7 linked regions of the Xenopus tropicalis genome follow. The protein of the gene in region 4 purifies or fractionates together with the protein of the main gene of each other region. This does not show direct contact. Links are inferred from orthologs where the notes say so. Each region holds a gene or a part of one and is shown on either strand. Other genes may lie near its edges. The genes, in order: sin3b, ing2, sap130, sinhcaf, brms1l, sap30 and tnrc18.

What was found.
Region 1: the proteins of sinhcaf (region 4) and sin3b purify together in Homo sapiens (affinity purification with mass spectrometry; 3 studies listed by BioGRID and IntAct, counting the BioPlex papers as one, with this or other methods). This does not show direct contact. The link is inferred for Xenopus tropicalis from reciprocal best matches to the Homo sapiens genes SINHCAF and SIN3B.
Region 2: the proteins of sinhcaf (region 4) and ing2 purify together in Homo sapiens (affinity purification with mass spectrometry; 3 studies listed by BioGRID and IntAct, counting the BioPlex papers as one, with this or other methods). This does not show direct contact. The link is inferred for Xenopus tropicalis from reciprocal best matches to the Homo sapiens genes SINHCAF and ING2.
Region 3: the proteins of sinhcaf (region 4) and sap130 purify together in Homo sapiens (affinity purification with mass spectrometry; 3 studies listed by BioGRID and IntAct, counting the BioPlex papers as one, with this or other methods). This does not show direct contact. The link is inferred for Xenopus tropicalis from reciprocal best matches to the Homo sapiens genes SINHCAF and SAP130.
Region 5: the proteins of sinhcaf (region 4) and brms1l purify together in Homo sapiens (affinity purification with mass spectrometry; 3 studies listed by BioGRID and IntAct, counting the BioPlex papers as one, with this or other methods). This does not show direct contact. The link is inferred for Xenopus tropicalis from reciprocal best matches to the Homo sapiens genes SINHCAF and BRMS1L.
Region 6: the proteins of sinhcaf (region 4) and sap30 purify together in Homo sapiens (affinity purification with mass spectrometry; 4 studies listed by BioGRID and IntAct, counting the BioPlex papers as one, with this or other methods). This does not show direct contact. The link is inferred for Xenopus tropicalis from reciprocal best matches to the Homo sapiens genes SINHCAF and SAP30.
Region 7: the proteins of sinhcaf (region 4) and tnrc18 purify together in Homo sapiens (affinity purification with mass spectrometry; 3 studies listed by BioGRID and IntAct, counting the BioPlex papers as one, with this or other methods). This does not show direct contact. The link is inferred for Xenopus tropicalis from reciprocal best matches to the Homo sapiens genes SINHCAF and TNRC18.

The regions. Positions count from the first base shown.
Region 1 is NC_030677.2:111,975,841-111,978,875, reverse strand, and holds the end of sin3b (paired amphipathic helix protein Sin3b), read right to left. Parts: coding exon 2,989-3,035; intron 2,149-2,988; coding exon 1,944-2,148; intron 1,042-1,943; coding exon 811-1,041; 3' UTR 665-810; downstream 1-664.
Region 2 is NC_030677.2:45,195,354-45,199,891, reverse strand, and holds ing2 (inhibitor of growth protein 2), read left to right. Parts: upstream 1-1,711; 5' UTR 1,712-1,739; coding exon 1,740-1,908; intron 1,909-3,553; coding exon 3,554-4,224; 3' UTR 4,225-4,342; downstream 4,343-4,538. UniProt on the Homo sapiens protein: Seems to be involved in p53/TP53 activation and p53/TP53-dependent apoptotic pathways, probably by enhancing acetylation of p53/TP53. Component of a mSin3A-like corepressor complex, which is probably involved in deacetylation of nucleosomal histones.
Region 3 is NC_030681.2:125,415,012-125,419,317, reverse strand, and holds the start of sap130 (histone deacetylase complex subunit SAP130), read left to right. Parts: upstream 1-1,481; 5' UTR 1,482-1,560; intron 1,561-1,715; exon of another isoform or gene 1,716-1,734; intron 1,735-1,842; exon of another isoform or gene 1,843-1,918; coding exon of another isoform or gene 1,919-1,939; intron 1,940-1,973; exon of another isoform or gene 1,974-2,038; intron 2,039-2,831; coding exon of another isoform or gene 2,832-2,837; coding exon 2,838-2,934; intron 2,935-4,306. UniProt on the Homo sapiens protein: Acts as a transcriptional repressor. May function in the assembly and/or enzymatic activity of the mSin3A corepressor complex or in mediating interactions between the complex and other regulatory complexes.
Region 4 is NC_030679.2:5,182,660-5,187,027, reverse strand, and holds the start of sinhcaf (SIN3-HDAC complex-associated factor), read right to left. Parts: upstream 2,943-4,368; 5' UTR 2,782-2,942; intron 295-2,781; exon of another isoform or gene 191-294; intron 1-190. UniProt on the Homo sapiens protein: Subunit of the Sin3 deacetylase complex (Sin3/HDAC), this subunit is important for the repression of genes encoding components of the TGF-beta signaling pathway.
Region 5 is NC_030684.2:108,267,480-108,272,002, forward strand, and holds the start of brms1l (breast cancer metastasis-suppressor 1-like protein), read left to right. Parts: upstream 1-1,621; 5' UTR 1,622-1,683; coding exon 1,684-1,819; intron 1,820-4,523. UniProt on the Homo sapiens protein: Involved in the histone deacetylase (HDAC1)-dependent transcriptional repression activity. When overexpressed in lung cancer cell line that lacks p53/TP53 expression, inhibits cell growth.
Region 6 is NC_030677.2:48,750,884-48,755,408, forward strand, and holds the end of sap30 (histone deacetylase complex subunit SAP30), read right to left. Parts: intron 2,091-4,525; coding exon 1,992-2,090; intron 985-1,991; coding exon 862-984; 3' UTR 699-861; downstream 1-698. UniProt on the Homo sapiens protein: Involved in the functional recruitment of the Sin3-histone deacetylase complex (HDAC) to a specific subset of N-CoR corepressor complexes. Capable of transcription repression by N-CoR.
Region 7 is NC_030685.2:46,769,332-46,773,099, reverse strand, and holds part of tnrc18 (trinucleotide repeat-containing gene 18 protein), read right to left. Parts: intron 3,528-3,768; coding exon 2,311-3,527; intron 1-2,310.

The sequences.
Region 1 (3,035 bases), on a different chromosome or scaffold from region 4:
AAAGTCTGTGAAATGATTTTTGTATGTGCAAAGGCTTACATCTCAGTAAGCCCATGTTTTGGCATTTATTGGCATTTAGAGATTGATGATATAGTAGAGCCTATTAAAGTCTCACAATACATAGCATGTGCATTTATTGGTCATATTTAGTATACATAAAGCCAACTTGTTTAAGTGCTCATGATTGTTATAAAAATCTAGCTGTCACAATGGTACTGTGTAATCCAAGAGTGACAACCCGTGTCCTGCCATACATGTCACTTAGATTCTGGGCTAATGCTAATATGCCTATTTTCTTTCAGGAGATGTGCATACTGACAGCATTGTAAAAATTGTGTTAGAAGCATAGCAACTGTGTCAGACGTGACATGGTGACTATCTCTGACTGTACAGTGAGCCTCTAGCAATGTATATAGAGCTCCCTGCCAAAAAAAATTATGGCAAGAGAAGCATTTACTGTGTCTGTGTTTCATTAACACTGTCATAAAATATAACTAATAGCATGTTACATGTTTACAAAGGGATTATCCTCTCTTTTTTTTTTTTTAATTCTATTTCATTTTTACACCCCCATCAGATGCGTTTCCCTCATGTAGTGCTGTCAGTTATGTCCATATATTTTCTGTAAATTGCTTCTTTTCAAGGAAATTCATGGCACTGGAAATATTGTTCAGCATATTCTAGTTTATATCAGGCACACCAAAACAAAAAAAAAAGACCAAAAAAAATTAAAAATAAAATAAGAAACCCCAGCCCTATGAAATGTAGTTGAGCAGCAAATGTAGAAATGTGACTGTGTTTTTGGGTGTGTTAGGGAGAGGCAGCCCTGCGAGGGTACTGCACCCGATATCGGGTAACACTCATGCCATGAACTTCAGAGTTCTCACACACCGTCTTGCAAGGAACCATCTCCTCATCTTCTTCTCCTGTAAGCCAATCCTGTATGACTTGCGCAGCTCTTGGACTGACGTTTTCCTCAAGCCAGCGGTTGTGCCATTCAGAAAACTTCTCATGGTGTCTTTGGAAAACTTGTGGCTGTACCTGTGAGGGAAGGAAAAAAAAGGTAGGAGAGTTAAAATGTGAATACTACATTTTTAATACTATAAATTAGATTCAAACGTATCTCCTGGAACTAATGAAAGAAATAAAAGATCTATGAGTTTAAACTACTTTCTTATAGCCTCACAGAACTTTTTCCAGAACCATTCTGCAACTACTGGTTTAGAGACAGCTTATGCTTTATCTCTATCTCGACACGTTCGGTTGCCGAGTGGCAACCCCCGTGGCTGTGTGATGTTATCCTCCAAAAATGTGTAGGGCAATAAAGTTTAAATTGCTCTTTAAAGCACATGCCAAGTCAGATGTCACTTTGGAAATCTCATAAATTGAATTAGTTACAACTGCCAGTTTATCCGAGGAAGGGGGGGGGGGGGGCTAGCTTTGGGGTATTGTGCTGTCTTAAGGTACAGATCTGCTCAATAAAAAGCCAAATATTCTTAATTACAGTCAAGCAACTGTATCAAAGTAAATACCTGTATTTTGCATAATGCAAATAGAAATTAAAATGGTGCTTTCAGAAGACCACATTCATTAATGTATATTGGAAAATTGTGATGAGTATATCTGTCACATTTTGCTTTGTTGAAAAAGTCACAACCGCAAAAACACTCCAAATGCATTGAAGTCAAATTGTGGTTTTTGCAGCAACTTTTTCCACACCACGCAAATTTTGTTTATTGCCATTGGAGTTTATGGATGTTTTTTTGCGTCAAATTCTGGTAATATCTTTCGCTCATCACTACTGAAAACCATGAATTACAAATGCAAGCCCAATAAAGCTGGTATAAAAAGACTGTACATTCACCCTGAAGTGTTTGAGAAATAAAAAACTTCCTGCTCCTTGTCCCTAAGAATGAAAATGAAACTTGGGACTGTAAGCATACCTCTCTGGCTCCGGAAAGTGTTCCCCAGCGGTACATATAGTCTTCTGAATTAATAATAAACATCATTTTGTGGCTGTTGAGCCTGAAGCGGCAGTCCATGTTACTAGCGCTTTCTACTCCCATAAGCTTCTTCCAAGATGACTTCACTTCATCCTTCATAACTCTCATAGTCCTATATTGCCAGCTATGGAAACTTCTGATATTTCTACAAAGGTGGTTGGAAAAGACAATTGATTCAGAAGTTAATACCAGTAGTAAAAGGGATAAACTCCACAGGAGATTTTGTGGGTTGGATTTTATCTGATCTTGCCATGCATCAGTCCCATTTTATTTTGACCCATGCCACTACATCCGACTAGTAGGATGTGTTTTGTTGATCCGACACCATCCTACAAAATCTCCCACGGAGTTTAGCCCAAAATCAACGCAAAGAAAATGCCAACCCACTATGTCCTAATTCAAATATGTGCTAAAGGGACACAGATTTGTTCTTTTATCTTCTGTGTGTAAAATTTAATGTTGCCATCCTTTAACTTTGCTAGCAGACGGTCAAATGCATTTCAGATATCTTTTGTTCTTTCAAATCATGAACATTTTTACTGTTCTCCATGCCATACCCCCAACATCAGTGTCCCCGGGTTTATGCAATAATATTTTTGTAATGGGCTTACTACAAGAAGCAGAAGGCCTAACGGTGGGTAATAAGGAATGTAGTAAATACAGAGTATGGAACTTAAATGACAATGGCAGCTTTGGCATAACTACAAACACTGCACACTGAGCCAGTAGCTAGTATAGAAGCTTGAGGTAAACAAAATTATATATTCCCCTGTTTATATATCTATTACAACACAACCATACTGGTAAAATGAGAATAATTAAGGTAGGATGGTCTTTATTAATGCAACAGGATTGTTTTTTGCTTAAAGACGAACTTGTACTTTTGCTCTTCTTTGGATGTTTCCTTATCGTCTGTGCATGCCCAAGGCAACAAAGTTGTAGTCTTGTAATGTGAATTTATGCACATTCCTGTGTTCCCACCTACCTCTGTAACAATACAGGTTTTAAGACAAAGCCTTCGCTCTGACTGCT
Region 2 (4,538 bases), on a different chromosome or scaffold from region 4:
CTAAATGTGAACAGCTAGAAGGGTTCTGCAAAATATTTTTTTCATATACTCCTTTAATAGTATTTCATCCTCAATGTGACACCACATTGCACCCAATGAAAATAAGAAGCGCTGCTGATTTAGCTGCAACCAGCTATGGACGACACATACAGGCCAGGTAGAAGTAATCCATTCTTAGCCCAAGAGTCTGCAGTCACACAGCACTGTATGAATAGATGTAATGGGAAATGCTACATTGTAACTTTTTTTGTTTATTGTATCTTTATTCCTAGAAGTTGGATTTACTCTCCAACACAAATAAAATGTTACAATTCAGGCCCAAGTCTTACTTTGTATTCCTGCCCTGAATAGGAAGTCAGAAAGAGCTTGTTTCCTCTGCTGTATACCTGTGCATAGGAAGAAAGACAATTTCAATTTTAGGCACTTACATTATTGCATTGGAACCTATCTTATATCCTTCTCACCTATGCATTCAGTTCCTCCTGGTATTAGTACAGTCACCTACAAGTTAGAATAAGTTAGAGTAAGATCCGCTCGTTTTGCCAGGTTGCCAAGTGAGCGGACCTTCTCCCGATATGCCCACCTACGGGTGGGTGATATCAGGCTAATTCAATCAAATTAAGGGAGTCCCTAAACTCTGCAAAAATCACTAATGTTATCTAGATATGGAAACTGGAACTGAATTTAAAAGTGAATATACAATAACAAATCATTACCAACACTTTTCAACAACATGTATCAGTTGTGCCTCCTGACTTTAGAGTGTGAGCTCTTGAAAGCAGAAGCCTGTAATATGAATGTTTCCATAGCTCATGTATGTCCATTCATTGTAAAAACCCCGTTTATTAAATTAAATTGCAAAGCATGCATAACTTTCTCCTGCTACTTATTAAATAATGAGGATTGTGATGAAATGAAATCATTCTTCAGCCCCGCCTGTAGGAATAGGGAAGCTAAGGTAGGGCAAGTACAGGAGGGCTATATGCACCACAAGGCAACCTAAAGAAAGGAAAGTACAGTTACCATAACCCAACTTTGTCAAGACATCAGTGAGAAAGGCCATTGCTTGGCACCATACAGTAACAGCGCCAACCCCTCACATCACACACACGGATTAGCATCCATCACTACTTCAACAACCCCCATACACACACGGGCATGGTAGTCATGGCCACACCAGGAAGTGACAGCTAGCGTCCCCACACAATGTGCATCCGAACCCCTATATGTAGGAATCACACCAGGCCTGGACCTGCGGCCCGGCAGCCGCTTTTCACAAATATATGCAAACGATTACCGGGCTAGGTACAGGAAATGTAAAAATAAAAAATGAAGTAAGGGGCGTGGCTTGCCGCTTACATCCCACCTGCTCCCCCTCCCTATCTTCCTTTGAACGTCCAATCAGCGTCAGGCTGGGTGAAATGCGGGAAATCCAAACACCATTAAATGGGGGTCAAAATAAATCGTAGAGCCTTATATGGTGAAGTGGCGCACATGCGCAGTGTCCTGCCTCGGCCCGCTGGATTCCAAATTGGAATGCGGCCTGAGCGAGAGAGCAGTAGTGGAGTTAGCACGTTACTACCGGGGCAGGAACCTCCTGTGCTAGCTCCGCCCCCTCCTCTTCGATAACTCCTCAGCAGTGCGAGTGTGGGGGGAGCTTGGAGTCTCAGCTTGTGTTTCGGTATTACTCGGTCCCGCTGCTCCGCTAGTGCTGTGCTGAATGCTTATGCTGGGGGACTATGTTAGGGCAACAACAGCAACACTTGCACTACTCCCCGGGGAGCTCGGCGGCGGAGGACGGCCAGCTGGTGAGCTATGTGGAGGAGTACTTGGAGTGCGTGGAGTCGTTGCCGTTGGAAATCCAGAGGAGCGTCACTTTGCTACGGGAGATCGATAGCCAGTACCGGGGTGAGTTGCTTGTCAGTGTTGTAGGGGGAAGGGATGATCCCGTCATGCTAGAGGGGGGCAGTGACTGTTCCTATCGGCCCTCCGCAAGCAGATTCGGGCTGTGCTAGTAGGGCAGGCGGGCGCAGCGAGGGCTTCTGGGTTATTAGCCCCCCAAAGTGTACTGTCGGGGTCCCCTACACGTGGCGGCACCCCTCTCCCCTGTGTAGCGAGCTTTCAAGTTAGATCTCGCCGAACTACATCCCATCGACACCCAGCCTTTGGCAGTTCGGGGCTGATGGGAGCTGTAGGTAAGCAACAGTTTGTTTGTCGTGTAGATTTTATAACCCAACTGTCCAGGGAGCCCCTTGCAGCTAGCAGGCAAGCCAACCTGCGGCCCTTCAGATGTTAAAACAACTACATTCTCCCAGCGGTGGCTAGATTTACGGGGGATGCTGGGAGTTGTAGTTCTATAACTTCTGGAAGGCCGTTATCTCCCTGTGGGACGGTTGCGGCGTATATGTGCCATTGTAACAGGCGGGCTGGGGAGTTTTGTGCTGTAATGTGTGGGGTTGGGGCTTACAGTGGGGAAGCGCTCGGCGCTGTCAGTGATCGGTGGGGGGGAGGGAGCGGACTCAACGTCATATCCGGGGGCGGCCACTTCTGGTATAGGCGGAAATCAGAAAGAAGGGCCGCATAGGGGAGGAGAGGGTTTCTATGAATAGACGGGCTTATAAGGCACATACGAGCTAAGGGTAGGGAACAGGCAGCGCAGATAAATGGTTCTAAGCTGTTTGCTATACTGCGCTTTCAAATGGCTACTGAGAGTTATAGTTGTACAAATGAGTCTGTTCTCATTGGGTGAGCAGGGGCCCGATATTGTAATGGGCGGTGGCGAAGAAGCATAAGACAGGGAGGTTATATTAATGGCTAGTGGGCGGGGCGAGAGGGAGGAGGGGAGGTGCCAGTCACAGTGGAAGCAACAAGGCTGGGAAGGGAGGAGCCTGACTAGATGGGAGGAGCGAGGCGCAGTGGGTAGGGACACGGATAGCGGGCTGGCGCAAAGACTGGATAGAGAAAGAGGGGGAGGCGCTACTGGTCTCGGCTTTTAACAAGAATGGAGGCGGGGCCGCGGGGGGCGGGCTGTAACAGGCTGTGGCCAGTTAGAGGAGCTGCGTTTGGCTTGTTAGACAAATGGGGGGTGCACTGGATATGCGCAAGGAGTTGGTTTGGGGGTGCTACATACAAGGGCTTGGTGTCGGGGAGACACTGGCTGGAATGCATCAGATCATGTCACTTGCTTAAATCGTAAAATCTCGATGAGTTCTCAGCGCTTGCTTTACAGTAGTCGCAATGTAGGCCTATGTTCACCAGCCTGCTCTTTCTTTAGCTACATCCCTAACAATCTGCTCGTTTGATTTGTGTTCACTGAAGGCTGGGGTTGGCAGTGCCAGCTCTGTGACAGAGATGAGGTGTGCAGCCCCTGCAGTTTTCCAGACTGCCCACAACTTATTGAGGTTCTGCTAATGTTGAGGGACAGTTGCCTCTGGTACTAGCTATGGTACAGCTGCTGAACTTGCCAGAGCACAGGACTAGCCTGCAGCAGGTAATGCAGATTTGCAGCTCACCCTTAATATTAACTACATAACTTTTTTGGTTCTGTTTCCAGAAGCTCTAAAAGAAGTTGATGATGTTTTTGAAAAACATTCAAATGAAACTGATGCTAATCAGAAAAAGCGACTCTTGCAGCAGCTTCAGAGAGCCCTCATTGTGACCCAGGAGCTTGGCGATGATAAAATACAGCTAGTTACCCAAGTGTTTGAGTTGATAGAGAACAGGACGAAGCAAATGGAATCTCTCTGCCAAGGCTTCTTTGATCAAGAAGAGAGTGAAAAGTCTGTGGAAAAATCTAAAGTTGAATCAAATGCATCTGAAAGGTCTACACGTAGACCTCGCAGGCAGCGCAACAGCGAGAGCCGGGAGTTATGTCACATGGTCAATGGGATGGATGACATCGAAGAGCAGCCACCAAAAGAAAAGAAATCAAAGTCGTCCAAAAAGAAAAAACGTTCCAAAGCCAAGCAAGAAAGAGAGGCATCCCCTATACCTTTTGCAATTGACCCCAACGAGCCCACGTACTGTCTGTGCAATCAGGTGTCTTATGGTGAGATGATAGGATGTGATAATGACGAGTGCACCATAGAGTGGTTCCATTTCTCTTGTGTTGGACTTACCTACAAACCAAAGGGCAAATGGTATTGTCCTGACTGCAGAGGAGACAATGAAAAGACTATGAACAAAAACACAGATAAAACAAAAAAGGACAGACGGTCGAGGTAGTTTAGGTTCGCCCTGTGTATTTGTTTTTCTTCCTTTTTGTTTTCTTATAAAGAAAATGTTTTAGATACAATGTCATATTTTAATAGTATTGCAATATTAAAACCTTTCCGTTTGTGACTTTGTGGATTTGCCACTTTCTTAAAGTATGGAAGTGTCTCCAAAAACAGAGGCCCGCCACAAGCATCATTACAATTTGTGTATTATACAGTAGTTTAATATGTAGGAATAGTGTCATTTTTATCCACATTATCAGGTTCTTTAACGCATTTCCTATGCCATATGCAGGCATTTTGCACACAGACATTTTATTTCTA
Region 3 (4,306 bases), on a different chromosome or scaffold from region 4:
ATTTACCTTTATAAAAAAATGCATCATGCAAGGGTGTATTTATGGTTATTGAGTCCTATTTTAAGTAATTAGATATTTACTTGGTGTAAACAGAACACTTACTACTTAGTACTTTATTTGGACTTTTCTTTTGGATGGCGTGGTTAAGAGTGAAGACACACAGAGCTACTTAGTAGCAGCTACTTGCCACAGCTATTAAACACCAATAAATACCCTGCCATAGACAATACCGAGAATTGATTCTGCTAAAACACATGTAGAGACAATTATCAGTAAAAGACCAGCATTGTCTATTTTAGTAGCCATGACAAGTAGCTGCTACTAGTAGCTCCATGTGCCTTCACCCTATGGGAATGCCAATGTCTCAAAATGGTTACATTCACATCTATTCTGTCATGTTTTTTATGGTGTACTTTTTACACTGTTTACATAGCAAATAATTCACTCTACCATTTAAAATGTTATTTTTTTAGTTGTAATATTGGTGTGTAGGCAGTTATCTCAGTGCATTGTGCCTGATTCTGAGCTTTCAGAAAGAACCAGCTCTACACATTAGAACTCATTTCAGGTAACCTATTTTTTCTTGGATTTCTCAAGCTGGCCATACACAGACTGATTATTATCTTCATAATAATTTTTGTAACATGGTGATCAGTTGTTTAGTTGGACAGGTCAGAAAATTTTGGTCGGCTAACAATGAAATCTGTGCATGTATTGTGTATCTGATTATATACTTGGGGGACCTACAATTCATTTCCAAGTAGTCACTTTTGTACGATTGATGCCTGCCAACTATTTCATGTTCAGAACATCCTCCGATTTGTTATTTTTAGGGTTTTATCCAACAATTTCAGTCTGAGTGGAGACCCCACTGATAGCAGAATTGTCTGCTTGTTTACTCCTTTGTTAATATTATGGCCATAACTGTAAAACTGTGACTTGTAAGTTGGCGTATGCTTATAACTGTACAGAGTAAAGGTATAAGGCAGGGGTCCCAACCTTTCTTACAGGTGAGCCATAGTCAAATGTAAAAAGACAACACAAGCATGGTGGTGCCAAATAAGGGCTGTGATTGGCTATTAGGCAGCCTCTATGCACTCTATCTGCTTACAGGGGGCGTTATTTGGTACTAAATCCTGTTTTAGTCAACCAAAACTTGCCACCAAGTCAGGAATTCAAAAATAACTCCCTGGGTTGGGGATCACTGGTATAAGGCAAAGGCATTCTATAGGCAGACTATACTAAATCTTCAGGAATAAAAAAAAAAACATTTTTGGGAAAACACTGTACGCAATTTTCCCTGTCGGACCATGGCTGTGTTTGTAAACAAATATCTAAGAAAAGGACAATGCGTCCAGTCGCTACACCCAACGTGACTCCTTTCAGCTTGCCTTTGGGCGGGGCCAGACGCCAATCACGTGATCGGTTGCCGAGCGCGGTTCAGTCAGACTGAGGTGAAAGAAAGCTAGAGACCGGAACCGGAAGGCGAAATGCGACGCTAGACAACGGAGCTACAGTCTAGAGTGCTAATATTTAAAATTAAAGGTGTCGGGAAAAAAAGTAAGTGAGAGACTTTGAAAAAACTCTAATATGCCCGTATAGTGTACTTAGGAATACATAGGTCAAGCATTTAATACCTTCGTCTCTACTCGTATGGCTGCACTACAACTCCCATCGTATGGCGACAGCTTCTGAAGGCTGTCAGGAGTTCCTCGGCATTAAAATATAACAATAGTAGGAAATTCGCGTGTTGTAGAGCTATGAATGTGTTCCTAAATGGAGGAGACTTTGCTTTCACTGCGGGGACATAACCTGTCTGTGCGACTTAAGTAGGGGGAGGGGCACTTCATGGGGATTTAATTGAAATATACGTGTGGTGCAAGCTTCATGTGCGAGTGTGTATCGTTGCGCCAAGGCCATGGGACGTGCGGCCCTTTGGGTAATGTTGCCTGGTAGCTTTGCGTTCCGCAATACTGTTGTCCAACCTGCAGCGGTCTGGCTCCGTCAGTAGCACAACTGCTCACAGTCACTGCTGTAGGTTCGTAGCATTAGCTGGAGGGCTGCACATTGCTCTTCACAATCATGCTTTCCCATTTGACGGTTTTGTGGGATATATCTGTATGTGGTATGATATAGTTGTCCTGCAGCCAGATATGTGTGGCTCAGTCAGGACAACGGTGATATTTGACTGCTTCTGCTGCGACAAAGTGCAACATAGTATCAATTGACAGCACTGCTCCAATTTATTTTGTGAATGCTAATAAAGGCAATAGCATCATACCTGCTTTGTATTTTGATGGGTATTTGCCACTGTCTTACTTATATAGATTTTAGGGTTAGTGACTGACCATGGGCACCTTTTTATTTTTAGGCAAACAGTCCTATCATATACAAAATGTATGTATGTATGTATGTATATCTTTATTTATAAAGCGCTACTTATGTACGCAGCGCTGTACAGTAGAATACATTAATACAAACAGGGGGTTAATAAGATAATAGATGAATACAAAGTATAACAATAAATACAAATAAATACAAGATACAGTTACAGTTGCAATAAGTTAAGAGTCAAAGACACAAGAGGATGGAGGTCCCTGCCCCGTAGAGCTTACAATCTATATGGGAGGGGTAACTTACAGATACAAATAGGCAAATATAAGTGCTGTAGGTCACAGTGGGTGACACTACAATATAAGTGCTATTTCCCAGATCAGGTGCTGGGTGAGTGCTCCTCCTGAAAAGCATCCTTTTCAGAAACCGAGTTGTCAGTATACAATTAATGGTATTTTAAGTGTTATTAAATTAATTAGGTGATCTCTCTCCTTCAGGTGAATATGAGTTCTCAACAGTTTCCCCGCCAGGCAACATCCATGTCAATTCCCCAAGTTTCTAACAGTGGAGCAACCATGGGGCAGAATCCCCAAGGACAAGGTAACACCAAAGAACTGAAAAAGCTGTTTCTTCATAATATTTAAGTATTAAATTGCAATAGATACATATTTTACAATGTAAAAAAAAAAAAAGCAAAGTTTGTCTGAAACTGAAAATACTGTATAATACACTCATAAAACCTATTGATTCAAATAAGTAGTTATGACATCTACACCTAATAATGTACTTTGAACTAGAATGCCATAAATTGCCCTATATTCAGATGATTGCCTTTGTTCACAAAAGCAGAAAAAAGGAATCTATGCCTTCAATTGCCACCTCTCAATTACTGACATAACTAGAGGTGCAGAGCTGATGGTTTTTAGAAATCATGGGTGGTGTTTCCCTTTTAATTGATAGGGCATTCCTTCATTATGGGTAAAAACAATGTTAAATAGTACTACCAGGGCCAACAATCAGATCAGTACAGTATAGCCCAGTGCTTGGATGGTCAAATCAAGGAAGAGATCCACTCATTTGCAAGCTCATCCAAATCTGTATAACCTTAAGGTTTATGGAGTAATACTAATGCTAGTTTAAGAAAGACTATGATAATGTTGGTCTGTGGCAATTAAAACTGGTAGACTGCTTTTTGACACTTGTATGTTGCAGTTTGATTAGTAGTTTTAATGTGCCCAAGTGTATTTGAATGTACTGGAGAATTTTTAGAGAATTCACTTTTTGCCATATTGATAAATTCAGTGCCTAGCAAATGGTACGTTTCTGCTATTGCAATTAAAATTGACTGCTGTTAAAAAAAAATTTGTATACCATATAAAAGACTATATTTTTTAATACTACCACTGTGCTTGTATTTCTTGTGTGCAAACCCTTATTCTATTTAAAATTACATTTCTGCTAGCTCAGGGGTCCTCAAACTTTTTTTTAACATGGGGCCAGTTCCTGGTCCCTTAGACTGTTGGGGGGGCCGGACTGTAGTCCTCAAACTACGCTTGTTCTCAAAACTCAAACTGCGGCCCGCTTCCTGCTGCATCCTCCCACTCCCTGCTCACCAGCTCCCCTCTGCATCCTCCGGCTGCCTGCTCACCGCTGTGTCTGCAGACAGGTAGTAGCCAGGGGTGAGGATGCAACAAGGCCGGGTAAATTACCTTGGGGGGCTGGATACGGCCAGCGGGCCATAGCTTGAGGATCCCTGTGCTAGCTGGTTATAGCTCATATATTTTGTTGCAACAATTGCACAAAGTTTTAAAACATTAAACATAACTAGATACATTTTGAAACATTTTGTTTTACTTATACTACAATTGGTCAATAGAAAACTTAATTGTAGTGGACATTCAAATGGCAGTATTTCAGGATTTATTCAGTCAATAAATATCATGGGTATACTATAATAAATAAATACTCTCAT
Region 4 (4,368 bases):
GGGGGGCCAATGGGCAATACAATAACATTAGACATGACCCCCCTATAGAAATAAGAGCCCCCCAGCACCCCAATCTTACTGGGCCACTTCTAGATAAGAGGCACAAACTGCCCCGGATAAGAGCACTTCTCTGAGTTACTGTTACCCCCCCCCCAAAAAAAGGCATCAGTTGCCCCATGCTCCCACTCACCTTTGCCCCCGGGGGAATAAGCAGATAAATCCGATGGAGTTGCCAGGGACCAAACATAGAACTAAACAAATCCGGTAGTGAATCTGCCCCAGTAACATACCCTGCGGTGGGCGGGGCTATAGGGGCATGGGGGGGGGGGGGGGGGTGTTGTGTCTACGTGCAGCTTCCTCCCCCCCCCCCCCAGCCAAAACACCCCTCCCCCTCCTACATGCGGTCTCCCAGCCCGAACCCCCAGATCGGCAGCATGAGTGTCGTACATTGCGCCAACAACTGGCGCTACAGACGCACAGGGCTGCACACTAGCGCTACAGACGCAGAGGGCTGCACACTAGCGCTACAGACGCACAGGGCTACACACTAGCGCTACAGACGCACAGACTGCTACTAATAGCGCTGCACGTCCAGCCCGCACACCGGGGGGTTAATGTCACAGCCGGGTGTCGGTACGTGACAGTCGTGCAATTACACTAGTGCCCGGCACTCTGTATGGGACACAAGCGCCACAAAAAGCCCAACACTCACTGTATCACTAGTGGCGCAAACGGGCCCGTCACTAAGCGACACCGAGCTGATCAGCGCTGGGCACATACACAGCTCCAATGCCCTCTGTGATGCCACAGGTACCACCCAGGTAACTATAGGGCTGGGCACCCTGTCCCCCCCATACCCCACAGGCTGGAGGGCACCCTGTCCCCCCCATACCCCACAGGCTGGAGGGCACCCTGTCCCCCCCATACCCCACAGGCTGGAGGGCACCCTGTCCCCCCCATGCCCCACAGGCTGGAGGGCACCCTGTCCCCCCCATGCCCCACAGGCTGGAGGGCACCCTGTCCCCCCCATGCCCCACAGGCTGGAGGGCACCCTGTCCCCCCCATGCCCCACAGGCTGGAGGGCACCCTGTCCCCCCATGCCCCACAGGCTGGAGGGCACCCTGTCCCCCCCATACCCCACAGGCTGGAGGGCACCCTGTCCCCCCCATACCCCACAGGCTGGAGGGCACCCTGTCCCCCCCATACCCCACAGGCTGGAGGGCACCCTGTCCCCCCCATACCCCACAGGCTGGAGGGCACCCTGTCCCCCCCATACCCCACAGGCTGGAGGGCACCCTGTCCCCCCCATACCCCACAGGCTGGAGGGCACCCTGTCCCCCCCATACCCCACAGGCTGGAGGGCACCCTGTCACCCCCATACCCCGCTGGAAGGGACCCCGTCCCCCCCATACCCCACAGGCTGGAGGCACCCCGTCACCCCCATACCCCACAGGCTGGAGGGCACCCTGTCCCCCCCCATACCCCCACAGGCTGGAGGGACCAGCCCCCCCCCCATACCCCACAGGGCTGGAGGGACCAGCCCCCCCCCCATACCCCACAGGCTGGAGGGACAGCCCCCCCCCCATACCCCACAGGCTGGAGGGACCAGCCCCCCCCCATACCCCACAGGCTGGAGGGCACCCCGTCCCCCCCATACCCCACAGGCTGGAGGGCACCCCGTTCCCCCCCCATACCCACAGGCTGGGGGGCACCCCCGTCCCCCCCCATACCCCACAGGCTGGAGGGCACCCCGTCCCCCCCCATACCCCACAGGCTGGAGGGCACCCCGTCCCCCCCATACCCCACAGGCTGGAGGGCACCCCCGTCCCCCCCATACCCCACAGGCTGGGAGGGCACCCGTCCCCCATACCCAAGGTGGAGGCACCCCGCCCCCCCATACCCCACAGGCTGGAGGGCACCCCGTCCCCCCCATCCCCACAGGCTGGAGGGCACCCCGTCCCCCCCATACCCACAGGCTGGAGGGCACCCCGTCCCCCCCATACCCCACAGGCTGGAGGGCACCCCGTCCCCCCCATACCCCACAGGCTGGAGGGCACCCCGTCCCCCCCATACCCCACAGGCTGGAGGGCACCCCGTCCCCCCCATACCCCACAGGCTGGAGGGCACCCCGTCTCCCCCCCATACCCCACAGGCTGGAGGGCACCCTGTCCCCCCCATACCCCACAGGCTGGAGGGCACCCTGTCCCCCCCATACCCCACAGGCTGGAGGGCACCCTGTCCCCCCATACCCCACAGGCTGGAGGGACCAGCCCCCCCCATACCCCACAGGCTGGAGGGACCAGCCCCCCCCATACCCCACAGGCTGGAGGGCACCCTGTCCCCCCCATACCCCACAGGCTGGAGGGCACCCTGTCCCCCCATACCCCACAGGCTGGAGGGACCAGCCCCCCCCCCCATACCCCACAGGCTGGAGGGACCAGCCCCCCCGGAGCAGCCACATGGCCTCGCTGGCGGCGCCAAGCTAGTGCCACTCACCCCGCTACAGAGACACCGGGGCCCCCCAGCCCGTATGTTACTCCCCCCAGCAGCCCCGGCCCTGCAGCCCCCATAGTAGCCCCATAGGAGCCCATAGTAGCCCCATAGTAGCCCATAGTAGCCCATAGTAGCCCCATAGGAGCAGCCCCACAGCCGTGCGGTTGGGGATACAAAGTAACAGAGAGTAACAATGGGGCCGTGTAACGGGGTGTCGGAGCCGCAAAGTGCCGGGAAGTTCCCCGCAGGCACAGGGGGCAGTGTCAGGGCTGCCAGTCGCTTTCTTACCTCGGAACCCAAGTCGCAGGACACTCGGCACAGTCGCAGGTACCAAATCGCACTCCCAGGGGCCAGCGCTCAGGGGCCAGCGCCACACTCACAGCCGCACTGCGCAGGCGCCATTCCCACGCTCTTGTTCTACTCAATCAAACTCATTTGCATGGGCGCCCTGACGTCACCCTTCCCGCGTCTCCACTCGCCTTATTTGGAAGAAGGTCCGGGCGGGAAAAATCAAAAGAGGGGCGGGGCGATCACAACCATGGCAACCGGGGCTTCCAAACAACAAGGGGGCGTGGCAAAGGAGCTCAAAGACTCACAACAATGACGGTGATAGGCGCCAAGGCTGGAGTGGAAGGGATTTACAGGCTGTGATTGGTCGCTTGCCGGACTGGGTCAAGCAGATGGCGGCGGAGGGAGATTTCACAGCTATAGGAAACAATGGAGCTTCCCATAGATACACACTGACAGCTGTTGTTTGTTTTGTCTCTAATTGGGTCAAACCAACTTCACCGTGTCCTACATCTTACAACTCCCAGAATGAGTAGTAACTTCTCAGCGGAGAGGCTGTCTGGGGAGGATGCTGGGAACTGTAGTTCAGGAGCAGGAAGTCTGGGGTCCCATTCTGATGAGGTTGAGAGTTGCAGTCTGACAACAACTGGAGGGCCACAGGTTGGCTATTTGCTGTGTACTCAGCCAATGTAATGTGCCCAAGGCTAAATGCCCAGTGGGGCAACTACCAGGGGCCCAGGGAGTGCAACTGCCCCTCCTAATCTGCCCTGATACTAATACTATACCCAGTGCATCTCTATAGGGCCCTGCTCTGTAACCTCTAGCCCGGGGATGTGGCTGAACTACAACACTCAGCATTCTTCAACCAATAATCAAGAAGCAGGACATGCTGGGAGTTGTAGCCTAGCAACACCTGCTGGCCCATGGTTCAAAGACTGGGCTTTAGGCCACCGGCCCACCAGCCAATACTGCTTTGCCCATGGTTTGGGGCAAATTGCCCAAAGCTGCCCCTCCTTACCTGACATGAACATATACAAGCCAGTTCCCAAGATGGCACTGCCTCCCATAGTTCTTAAAGGGTTAAGTTAACTTTTAGTATGTTATAGAATGGCCAATTCTAAGCAACTTTTCAATTGGTCTTCATTTTTTTCTTTTTATAGTTTTTGAGTTATTTGCTTTACTCTTCTGACTCCAGTTTTCAAATGGGGGGTCACTGACCCCATCATCAAGTCAAATTGCTCTGTAGGGGTACAAAGGTATTGTTATTGCGAGTTTTTGTTACCCCTCTTTCTATTCAGGCGACCTCCTATTTATATTCCAGTATCTCATTCAAATCAATGCACGGTTGCTAGGGTATCTAAGACCATAGCAACCAGATTGCAAATACTGCAAACTAGAGAGCTGCTGAATAAAAAGCTCAATAACTAAAAAAACGCAAACAATAAAAAAATGAAGACTAATTGCAAATTGTTTTTAGAATATCACAGGTGAACAGCCCCTGTAATGCCCAATAGGTGGGATTCTGCTGGGCTGCGCCATGTACTTTCTGGGGGGGGGGGTCACAGATTTTCCCACTGCAGACGCCGG
Region 5 (4,523 bases), on a different chromosome or scaffold from region 4:
AAAAGGAGAAAAGATATCCTGTGTTTCTTTTGATAGAGGACTCGGTGCAGCATTACTGTAAGTGCTTATGGCTGTATTTACATAGATCTTTCTGATAAAACTTACTTAGTTTTTACCTTTCCTTCTCCTTTAAATAGCCTTACTTTAGATGTAGTGGGTACTAATGTATTAAAGGACTGTTAACATACATAGGATAGATACAAAGCAATTTTAAGGATTTTATACCTGTTTTAATCTACAGTTACGGGTCTCTATAGGTCTGCAGTATGTTCTGACCATTGGCTAGGTCAGATCAGCCCAATTTGGACCGCTGAGGGGTGGTCAAAACGGGGCTGCTTCTTTGGCAACAGGACCAAACAAGCGGATCTCTGAGGGAGTGCTGCAGAGCATTTGCTTTCTTCCACTTCTTCATTCTTTAATGACCCCAGGCTGACACATGCACAGCAGAGTAAAAAAACAAACAAAAAACCCTAAAACCCTGCTTTTTAGTAAAAGCTTGGCATTTCATACTGTGCATTCACACCCAGAGCAAAAAAGGGAGACGCAGGAAGATGATCTCTCCATAGTGCTTACTCCCCACTTCTCTGTATGGGAGTGGGGGGGGGGGGGGGGGGGAAGAGAGGTTTGTTCGAACATGCGCACGGGGGGGGGGGGGCGGTATTGGTGAATGGGGGGCAGCCTCAGAGCGCCCAGATTTCAAAAAGAATGTTGTGCACGTGTCTTTGGGTGCCTATGTCGAAATGTGCATTTGTTTGCAATGATGAGAAATTAGGTATTAATGATGATGAGAAATCCTGGACTGCACCATTATATCCCTATAAAAGGACACAATGTTAAATGAAATATACATTTAAAAGAGTTACAAAAGCAAAGCCGTTTCATGGTATCTATTATCCAGAAACCCATTATTAAAAAATGTCCAAAATACTGGAACGCCACTTCCCTTGGAATCCTATTTAAACAAGCAATTATTTTTCTTTCTTTTTTTTTAATGTTTCCTTTATCTCTATAATAAGAGTACTGTGTACTTGATCATAACTAAGCTGCAGAAATCCAAATTAATCATATTGGGTCTTACTTAGTGTTCTTTAGGAGCCTTTGGGAATGGTACTCCATAAAGACTCCTTGTCCAAAAATCCCAAGCATTCCGGATAACAGATCCCACACATGCACAGCCGAAATCCTATTCGACCGGATGGACACTAATACTAAATATCCATTAAACCTCTACCAAACCTAGGCTTCTATAAAGTACAGCTTCAAATTGATAGGAACAAAGGTGGTTGATTACTATAGCCTGACGTCTTCTCTGTTTATAAACCGCCCGAAAAAGCACGCTGCCTCGCAATGGCCTTCGGAATTTGTAGTCAAATTTCCTGCCGTGTCATCCAGTAAGTAATAAAGACGAAACTACATTTCCCAGCAAGACGCAGGGTCCGCCCTTGTTCTTTCATGGAAACGTAGGAGCGAGTAATAAGCGACGGAAGGGTTTTGCTGTGGCCTATGGCTAGTAAATGATGCGTGCTCTTAAGCCAATCGTAAGCGCGAACGAATGATATATGGGCGGAGCTAAAAATATAGTACCGTAGAGTGGCCAATAGGAAAGGAAAGGTGGGTGCCGGCGCGGGTGGAAATTGGGGTCCGGAGAGGCGCAGTTTTAGGACGGAGGGAGTGAAAGCGAAGATGCCGGTTCATTCACGGGAAAAGAAGGAAAGTAACCACAATGATATGGAGGTTGACTATCCGGAAAATGAAGGCACTAGTTCCGAAGAGGACGATTCGGATAGTTCCAGCGGGAGCGAAGAGGGAGACAGCTCGGGTAAGCAGCTGACTGCTCCAACACTGCTCGCAACACGCACATCTACACGGCTGCACTACCGCCTGTGGCCGCTAGTTGTTTCATGGTGGGACGGCTGCGGGCTCAGGGATTTCACATCCTGCGGATCCCTGGTACTTGGCTAGTTCAGTGATAGAGCGGCCACCAGTGGAATAAAGGCGCTTTGCTGTTCTTCCTTTGCCGCAAAGCAATGCTGTGCTGTGGTGCAGTTATTCACAGGGACTTCTTGGTTATGGAAGCTCTGTCTTTTCAATATGAGGCAACCCCCCTCACATCTTGACAGGCAAGGCACATGCTGGATGTGATTCCCCTCAGAACAGTGATCCTTCCCTGTGTATCGGTGCCATTGATTTCCATTCATAGAACGTATCAGTGTGTCAGTAGCCATTTACATCTTAGGTCCCATTATCAAAGGTGCCTCTTGGGGTAGGAAACAAGTGCTAAAGGCATATTGTAATGTAGCAATTGTTTATAGGTAAGATAGAGATAGAAACTTAATGGACAGTCAATGTTTTTGTGAGATCCTTCTTCAGATGTTAGTTTAAAGCAGGGATCTTCAACCTTTTGGACTCATGAGCCACATTTAAATGTAAAAATAGTTGTGGAACAACACTAGCATTCAAAAATTTCATGGGAGTGCCAGATAAGGGCTGTGATTGGCTATTTGATAGCCTCTATGTGGACTGGCAGCCTCCAAACCAAGAATTCAAAAAATAAGCACCTGCTTTGAGGCCTCTGGGAGCAACATCCAAGGGGTTGGTGAGCAACATGTTGCCCCGGAGCCACTGGTTGGGGATCACTGGTTTAAAGAGACAGTGAACCCCCCTCTGCACTAGTGCAATGAATAGGCTTGTGTTGAACACTGCCTATTGATTTAATCACAAAAAATCTATGGATTTTATTATTACTTGAGCTAAACAGGGAAACTAAAGTTTAGAGTAACTAAAGATGAATTACCAGGATACAGCCCTTGTCTGTGCTTATGAAGCAGGAAAACATTATGCAGGGGGATCGCCTCTCGACCAAAGCACAGGTCTCGCAGGCTGATTCTCCCCCACATTTATAGGGGAGAGTTCTCCAAGACACATTTTTAAATATAAAAGACATTAAAGTCATTAAATCAGGGATCCCCAACTTTCTATACCCATGAGCCACATTCAAATGGAAAAAGTTTTGTAGAGCAACATAAGCATGAAAAAAGTTCCTGGAGGTGCCAATGAGAGCTATAATTGGCTATTTGATAGCCCCTATGTTGACTGGAAGCCTACAGAAGGATCTGTTTGGCAATTACACTGGGGTTTATGCAATCAAAACCAGAAATTCAAAAATAAGCTGTATCAGGAGCCAATTAGCCCGCATGGTTTTAGCTCTTGGAAGAAAACCAACTTTGCTTATAGTGCCCTGTCTGCAAACCTAGGCCCACAGAACTCTGATGTAGGCTGCCCCTTTCTCTTCCATTCAGATCATCTTGTTCATTTGAGAATTTTACCATTTGCTTTGGGTGTCTGTCTGTCTATCTATCTCATCATGTGCATGCTGAAAACCCATAAACAGAGGACCTCTGTAAAGCACCACAAACAATACAGATGTTTACAAAATTTTGCTCCATCACTTAAGTTGGCCACACATTCTCTTTAGATGCCCCCTTAGCTCATGTTTGATGCATTGGCATATTGTAAGTCAAAGTAGCTGCAGCAAAGGTCAGTTTATTTGGGCCAAACAGTACTGTTTGGCTATTCACATGTATATCCAAATAATATGAATTGCTGGTGGAAAGGCAATGCATAAGCCTTTCCATAGGTGATTCCCTTTATTGCCAGTAAAACAGTTTCTGAGGTAGATTCGTTGCCCACAGTAGCAGATATTTATTGTGGGCGACTAATCTCCTTATGGGACATTACCCTTAGTCCTTCTGCAGGCAGGGCATGAATTTATGTAGAGAAGGAATGTGTTTTGGAGTCTAGAAATGTAAACCTGTTCTTTTTTGTGCTTGCTGAGATACTGAGGCCTTTTCATTAGCAAGAAACAGGAGCTCACACCTACATTGATTGATTGGTCTGCTGGATGTTGGATTGTACATGATTTTTGTCTTGCCCATCACTAGTATTTGTAAGCTTCTTGAAAGAGCTATTTTAGCTTCCAGACTAAAATTCCTTCCTGACCGACAGATGCCTGTGGGTACATACAACGCTTCACTTGTAGTAGTGGTAAATTACCTTGTGTAAAAATTGTCTGTAAATGTATGGCTTCTCTCTCTGCCCTATCGATATTTCCATTTACTCTCTAGAGGAAAATATTCTGTGAACATAATAAAAGGGCTCAAAATGTTGCTGTCTAATTGGGAAAATTACATATGTTTATATAAAAGGCATTGTTCTTCTTTAAATGGGGAGGTGTACCCCTTTGTTCAACATGAGTTCTTTGAATGGGGCTTATGCCAAACATACTTTTTGCCTATTGTTTTAATCACAAGCGTCTACATATTTTGTAATTCCTTGAGCTAAACAAGGCAAATGGGGAAATTGAAGCTACTCTATGGTTGGTCCTAGCAAGGGAGATCATTTAGATTTCCAGTGCACATATAATCCCCTCCCCCCCCCCCCCCCTTGCATAATGGACTCCTGCTAACAAAACAGGTATAGTGGTGAATGGAGAGGATTATATGGTGGTAATCTAATTATCTACT
Region 6 (4,525 bases), on a different chromosome or scaffold from region 4:
CAAGTGCTACAAAAAATGATGCTAGGTTCCATGTATGTTTCCCTTTGGATACTAAAGGCTGTCACACGTTCTATAGATACTTACACATAACAGCAGCCTTTAAAAACATTCCAAAAGTACAATTATTTGTTTATAAAATTATAAATATTGTTTATAAAGGGACAATTTACCACAGTGATCATATAGCCAAAAGAAGTCATCCCATTTGGACAAATAACGCCCTTTATGGCAAAGTCAACAATTGACAGCTAGGACAATTGTCTGTGAACACTTTTTGGAATCTCCCTAGAAACCTTGCCAAAATGTTTCATCTTCTTGTTTTGTGGATCACAATTCAAATCATACCAACCAATCATTATAATCCTTCAATGATACCCTAACTTGCTGCAAACTTAAAACAATGCCATCATTAATTCTCACCCAAACAATTTATGGTCACCCTGTGGCAGAACGATGCTTATGTGATAATATGATAACACTAATTCTTCCTACCATGGCGGTTTTGTGGCTATGCTGACTTACCTCAGAACATCAGGTTAGATGTCAGATGCAATGTTAAAAAGAGGTGATACGACATGAACTTCCACATGGCCAGGAGTTAATTGTGAGTGAAATTATTGCACTAGATACAGACACATCAGTCACTTTGTAGTTAAATTGCCCTTTAACAGTCACATGCACTTTTAGACATCCTTCAATTTTTTTTTTTTAAGTAATAAATTTCAGTCTTTGAGATTGCAACATATACAGCTTCCACAAAAAAGCACTAAAATAAACTATTTTATTTACAGATGTTATTCCATAGCAGAGCTTGCCGATATCTCCAGCAGGTCTAAATGTCCATAAAACCACTCCTATGTTCTAATGGAGACCACCATCAGACTTGTGGTCCAATTTGTTCTTTTCATTCTTCACTGAGCAGATAAAATATGTTAATGTGTCCTTTTCATTTACAGGAAGTGTCCTGAAATGGCATCCAATTATCTAAAAGAATAAAAAAAATGCAAAATGACTTTCATGAAACCGTGAAATTTAGATTGCATCATTAACCTATATATTATACATACATTCTATATATATATATATATATATCACTGTGAATGTTCTGAATCTTCTTTTTATCTTCCAGCCTGTTACTGAGACCTCTGCCTGAATGCTAGGGTCAGTAAGCAAAATAACTGAACTGGTCATCTAAAGGTAGAGGCAGCTATCCAAATGTCTGGAATTTTGGGAACAGCTAAGTGATCTTAGGGCCATATCTCCTGATATATGATGTGAAAAACACCACTGAAGTCTATGGGAAAATCTAGAACTAAATCAGGAAATCCTTTTATTACTGAATTGAATCTGGTCCTTATCATCACTGGGGCAACTGCCACAAAGGTCCCCCAAGGGGTACCAATTCACACTCTTAAAAGTGAATAAGCCTTTAATAGATTGTTGATGAGTTGTTTTACAGACACTTATAGAAATAACACATCAATCCAAATCTATGAGGGTATCTTTGCCATAAGACAAGGTGGCACCTTACCAGGAGGAGCAAACAGCCATCCCTGGTAAAATGCAAGCATGCATACAATCTGGTCTGCAACTCAACCAACTGTAGATTGCCGGGCTGCTGCGATAGTTGATTACTCTGCATGTGAACGGAAGTCAATAAGTGGAATTTTGGCCAAACCCCAGTAGTGCAATCACACCACAGTTTGATCTGCTAAATTGGTACCTAGAAAGGTCTAATCAAGGATAAATGATCACAGAGTTTCATTAAAAAATTTCTGTTTTTATAAAATGTCATTGTAATCTGCTTGCTAAGGTCAATTACCCTACTGATCAGATAGCTGTATGAATGGTATTTTGGGGGAAGAACAAACAAAAAACCCTAACATACTTAATAAAACAAAATAAATAAAAAGTAAGAAATGACTGAATGAGTTGATAATAGTTCCTATAAGGTTACAGTGATAATATTCATTTTAACCTGTTGTACTTACTTCCACCAACTGAGCTTTATTTAGCCCTGGTCTTGCTTGAAGTTTAAAATGTCGCTTATATCTTCTTAGTGTGTTTACTTGCAACTGAAACAAATCGACCTGGAATGAACAAAATGTTTTTTGAGTTTTATGGCCACTTGTACAATAAATGCAACTGCATGCAGACTGTTTTTATTGCTTTCGCAATATCATCAGAAGGCTCCTAAATGCTGAAGTGACCTTCAAAGCAGTGTTTGGCAAAGCAATAACATATAATGGATTTTATTTTAGCACAGACACTTTAGTGACATTACCATAAGTTGCTAAATATTTTGGCTGTGTTTTATAGTGTAGTCTAGGATAAAGATTAGGACAAGAGAAAACGGCTTTAGAAAGATGGCTCTTAAGCTGAAAACATATCCATTGCTATGGCGTGTGTGGCATATTCTCTGCATAGTTTTTCTCACCGGGAAGGTTTTAATTGAAACCGCCCGCCATCAGGTAAATTTGGTATGTTTTTGGGCTGTTTACCTTAAAACCAAATGACTGGCTACTCTATTTCAGGTACTTGTTCACTGGCAGAGCATACACCACATGTAATATGTAACATGAGTCTAAAGGTGGTCATACACCTAAAGATCTGCTCATTTGCCCACCTACATACTGGGCCTAATTGGGCTGATCTCATCATTTGGCCTCTTGGCTTGGATCATAGCAGATCCCTATGCAGTCCTCACCTAACAGGAATTTTAAACCAGACAGATATCTGTGGGGGAGACTATCAGGGAGTTTATACATGGGCAGATAAGCTGCTGACTTGGGGCAATGATACATGACAAGATTACCACAGGCAACTAGTCTCCTGCACAAGGCCAATCCTGCCATGAGGCAAAGTGAGAACCTTTAATATACAATTTTTTATATTTATAAGGGTTTCAAATGGCCAGTCAAAAAAGAAGGACCAGAGTTAATTCAAATATCCATATTAAAAGCATACAGACCCCACAAAGTGCCGCCTTACATGTCCTGTACCCATACGGTACTTAGTCATAGGACAACAGCCTATGACTAAATATTGGATGGGTACGAAACGCGTAAGACAGCACTTTGTGGGGTCTGTATACTTTTAATTTGGATATTTGAATTAAAATGTGATTTTTTAAACTGACATGTTGTGTTGAGTTTGGGATATTTTTCTGATAAAGTGAGAACCTTGCCTTAGGCGGCAGAAAGTGGCTAGTTACCATGGGCGTCAAAAAGCTGGTAACTTTAAGAGCCCAATTTCTGATCTTAAAATGAAAATTTGTCTCTGCTAGTGCAGAAAGTTTTATAGCAATACAGCCCCCTCTGAACCCCTTTTGATGTTAAAGTTGTAAGCAAGGTGCAAGGGGGTGGCATTGGGGCTGCTGCATCAGGCAGCAGCAGACCCAGGATTGGCGCTGCTCCTGCAAATCATTTCTCACCAGCAAAAATGTAAATCTCTGGTGGGAGGGCCCAGGGTATTCCTATTTAGGTCAATGGAAGGGCAACTGCCATACACGGAGCTGGAAATCACATGAGTAGAAGAAAAATTGGAATCTCTAAAGAATACCAGTGCCCTTAGATGTGAAATGAGGTAGAAAGGGTAACAAAGTCATCAGACTTATCATCAACATATATCTACTGATCTCTGGAAACCACTACTCAAAATCAAGAATAAAAAATATTGAACAATATTGAATAAAACAGTGCCAGAATATTGAATAATAGAGAATAAAACAGTGCACTCAAAAATTAAACATGGTAAGGCTGAAAATTGGACATTGAACCCCATCAAAATGAGTCATAAACAGAAAACAGACAGACAATATCCCTTTAAAGGGATACTGTCATGATTTTTATGGTGTACTTTTTATTTCTAAGTGACACTGTTAACATAGCAAATCATTTACTCTACTATTCAAAATTTTAATTTTCAACCAACAAATATATTTTTTTTAGTTATAATATTGGTGTGTAGGCAGCCATCTCAGTGCAATGTACCCGAGTCTGAGCATTCAGAAGGAGCCAGCGCTACAAATTAGGGTAAGAACCCATGGAGTACTCACCCATGGAGTGAGTTACTTGCCTGCGATAGATCTCTGCTATCGCGGGTGATTAACCACTCCGAAAAGGGTTTCCACTGGCAACAATAGAAGTCTTCGGTGGAAAGCCATTCACATTACTTGGTTTTTCAAACTCGCGCAAGTTTCCTCTTTGCCGGTGGAAACCCTTTTTTCGGAACGGTTACCTGCCCGCCATAGCAGAAATCTATCACAGACGAGTAACTCACTCCATGGGTTCTTACTCTTAGAAATACTTTCAGATAACCTACTGTTTCTCCTACTCCCATGTATCTGGAGGAGTCCTAAGCCAGACTTGGATTTCTTATTGTTGAGTGCTATTCTGATATCTACTTGGAGCTGCTATCTTGCTGCCTTCCCATTTTAATGCTGATTGGCTGCTGAGACGGGGGTGATATCACTCCAACTTGCAGCTCAGCAGTAATGTGTGACTGATGTTTATCAGAGCAAAGG
Region 7 (3,768 bases), on a different chromosome or scaffold from region 4:
GAGAGTTCTTGTAGATAATAAACTTGGTTTTAGCAAACAATGCCAGGCAGCAGCTGCAAGGGCAAACAAGGTTTTGAGCTGTATTAAAAGGGGCATAGATTCACGGGAGGAGGGTGTTATTCTTCCCCTTTACAGAGCGCTGGTAAGGCCCCATCTAGAATATGCTGTTCAGTTTTGGTCTCCAGTGCTCAAACAGGACTTTATTGAATTAGAAAGGGTCCAGAGAAGGGCAACTAAGCTGGTAAAGGGTATGGAAAGTCTCAGTTATGAAGAAAGTTGGGTCTGTTTACCTTGGAGAAGAGGCGCTTAAGAGGTGACATTAACTATGTATAAATATACAAGGGGATCATATAATAAACTTTCTAATGCTTTATTTACCTGTAGGTCCTACGTACGGACACAGGGGCACCCACTCTGTTTAGAAAAAGAGAGGTTCTGTTTAAGTATTCGGAAAGGATTTTGGGTGGCTTTTTAGCAAGTAAGGGAATACAGGGTTATGGGAGATAGCTCTTAGTACAAGTTGATCCAGGGACTGGTCTGACTACCATCTTGGAGACAGGAAGGAATATTTTCCCCTCTGAGGCAAATTAGAGAGACTTCAGATGGGGGTTTTTTTTGCCTTCCTCTGGATCAACTAGAAGTTAGGCAGGTTATATATAGGCATTATGGTTGAACTTGATGGACGCACGTCTTTTTTTCAACCTAATTTACTATATTACTATGTATGAAATTTCAAAAAATCGTGCCCTATGTGCATAGGTTTACCAAACTATGTGACATGAGACACTCAAATTGATATATGTAACAAAAATAGACAAAATTTCCATGTGCAAAATGAAAGTAACAAAGAACAATGCAGAATGCAATAAAATTGCTAAAATCCAACAAAACCACTAAAATCAAGGGGCTTTTTTGCCCATTGAAATCTGCAGTCAAAATCAGTTTTAATATTTTAGCTTGGCCAAATTATGCACCTATGCAGAACTGAAAATGCAATACAATGGCTAAAAATGCAATTAAATTACTAAAAATGCACCAAAATCACCATATAAGCACCAAAATAACATACAAAAGGTATTGCACAGTGCAGTCAGCCAACACGCTAATCACAATGGCAATAACACTTTTTTTAGACAAAAAAAATCCACAAAACTGTGTAAGTGTGTGTACACAAGATCACTGCACAGTCCCTGGCTCTAAGTTTTCTAAGTATTAGGTAAGGCATTAATTAAATGTTTTGTTGTAGACTTAGTAATGGTGATCCAAACTATGGAAAAAAAAACCTTATACATTTATAAGATTTATACAGAAATCCCATGTGCCAAACATTCTGAATATTAGGTCCCATGCCATTAACATGTGCCCACCACTCATTTGTAAGACATTGGAGCAGAGAGAATCTATTGTGCCGTGGTTTTATAACTAACTTTTTGGTCAGATTCAAATCAGGTACCACATGTTATTCATAATGGTCTACATGAGAAGGGTGATTTAACTAAACAAAACAAAAAAACAACTATATTTGGTCATATACCTACTGCAAATGAAGTATGCAATTTCAGACACAATCACTGTGTTTTATACCCACAAGCACATTTATTTAAGCTGCACACCTGTAAATTTCACATCCACTGCACTAGTAGTGCAAGCAATCCGTAGGACTGGCAGGTCCTAATCCTCAGCGAAACTGTTTTTGTAATTGAGCCGCACACACAGGGAGCTTATCCCATTTATTGTGACCACCTTGATCAACGTTTTGGGGGGATACACCCTCCCTTCGTCAGGATCCCACAAGCAGCATTTTTACCCCATTTTACCAGCGTCATTTCTACATCGAGGGAGTTGTGTCAGACAATTGTGGCCAACTGCACTGAAAATTTGCCAGTTTTAATACATAAAGGTAGGTATGTAACATAAGGTGCAAAGTTTGCTTTTTCATCTAGGTAAATTTTGAGCCTTTTATTACATATGGGCTTAATACTTTTAGTAATTTACGGTTTCAAAAAGTGTTGCCAGCTTACTATAATATAAAAATTAAATGAAAAATGTAAGGGAAGGAGGAGGACAATGCCCTTCCAATGTCCTCTCCTGCACCCATGTGAGCTTTGCTTTGCACCTTTTGGTAAATTCTGAATTTGCTATTATGCTGCAGAGTGCAGCTTGTGCCTTTCATTATTACAGGTGCAAGTGCTCTTTTATCGATTTGCTTTCAAATTCAACAAAGGTTGTTGTAGGGTTGTAGTACCTGTACTGATTATACATTAATGTCATACAATCTGTATGAGAAATAGAAGGCTATAATTAAATTACCTGAGTAGGTTTCCCAAACCATTTCCAGAGTTGCCTAGCAGGCAGGAATGCAGCTATTTTAGGTCTGTTCTCTACAGATGGTAACCTTTGCCTTTTGGCAAGCTCCTTGGTTGTAGGCAAATGAATTCCTTCCCTTTTCTTAGGTGTGTTTTTGCTGCCCTTTTTCTGTTCTTGTTTTTTTTGCCTTTGATTTTGAATTTGGGGAGTTCCAGGTTTAATGGCAGGTTTTATACTCCCCTTTTGAAGAGATATTTGAAGATTTGTGGGATTTGAAGTCAATTCTTGGGTTTCATCCTCTGAAGTACTAGAAGAATCTTCATCTGTTGTTGAAGAGGACGATGAACTGGAGCTTGAGGAAGCTGAAGATGATGAACATGAGGATGAAGAAGAGGAGGAAGATGATGAGCTGGTGCCAGATGAAGACTTAGACAAGCATACAGATGTTGAAGATTGTGAACTGCTAGAGCTTTCATCTCCCTGTGCTTGCTTTTGTTTGTTTTCTTTGTCCTCTTCGCCCTCAGACTCTGAGTTGCTGCTACTGCCATCTGATTCTTCCCTTGGGTCTAGGAGTCCCTGTTTTTGATCAGATTTTTTTTTATATTTGTCTAATGAACTACTTAGGGCTTCAGAATCACAAGCTGTAGTGTGTTTGGCTAAATGAGGTTTAGATCTAGACAGCTTTTGTTTGGATTCATGCTTTACAGGAGCATAACTCACACCCATAATGCATTTTCTGGTTTTTTTCATTGTTACACTGGCATCTTCAAGCCACATCATAGCCTCCTTAGCTTTTTTAGTTTTTGGGGACATTACTCCTTCATGATCCAACTTCACAAAAAAATCATTTTCTGCTTTGCCTTGTTTTGTGGAAAGTGATACAAAGTCTCTCTGCTCTTCTAGTTTTCTAATCTTTTTTGTATCCTCTAATTGGTCAAACAAGTTTACTGTTAAATCACATGGTGGATTTCCATTTTCAACTTTCCCCAAAGTACGCCCTGTATAAATTGTTTGCTTTGCATTGCAGAGTTTAGCAGTCTTCATCTGTTCAGGCTTCCTGATTTTTGGTGTTCCGTGTGTAGGTGAATTCTCTTCTGGTATTTGAAGAATTTTTGTACCCAACTTTATGCTTGTCTGTGAACTTTCATGTTTTTCTAAACATATTTTAGTACTCAAAAGTGATTCTTTGTCAACTGTGTCTTCATTAATTATCGTTTCTCCTGTGACAAAAAAAGGCCAAAAATCCATTCAGAAGTTTTTCTCTAATCTGAAGAAGTTATAAAATCAGAAAATACGGATATACAAGAAACAAAGATAAAGATTGGGACCATTATCTAGCAAGTTAAAAAGAATCACTTGAACTTATCCAAAGGTTAAATGTATAATTAAGAATAATGTTACTAAGCAGATTTGATTAGTTGGATTAGGAATGGATAGGAATACAACATTTGTATCACTAAA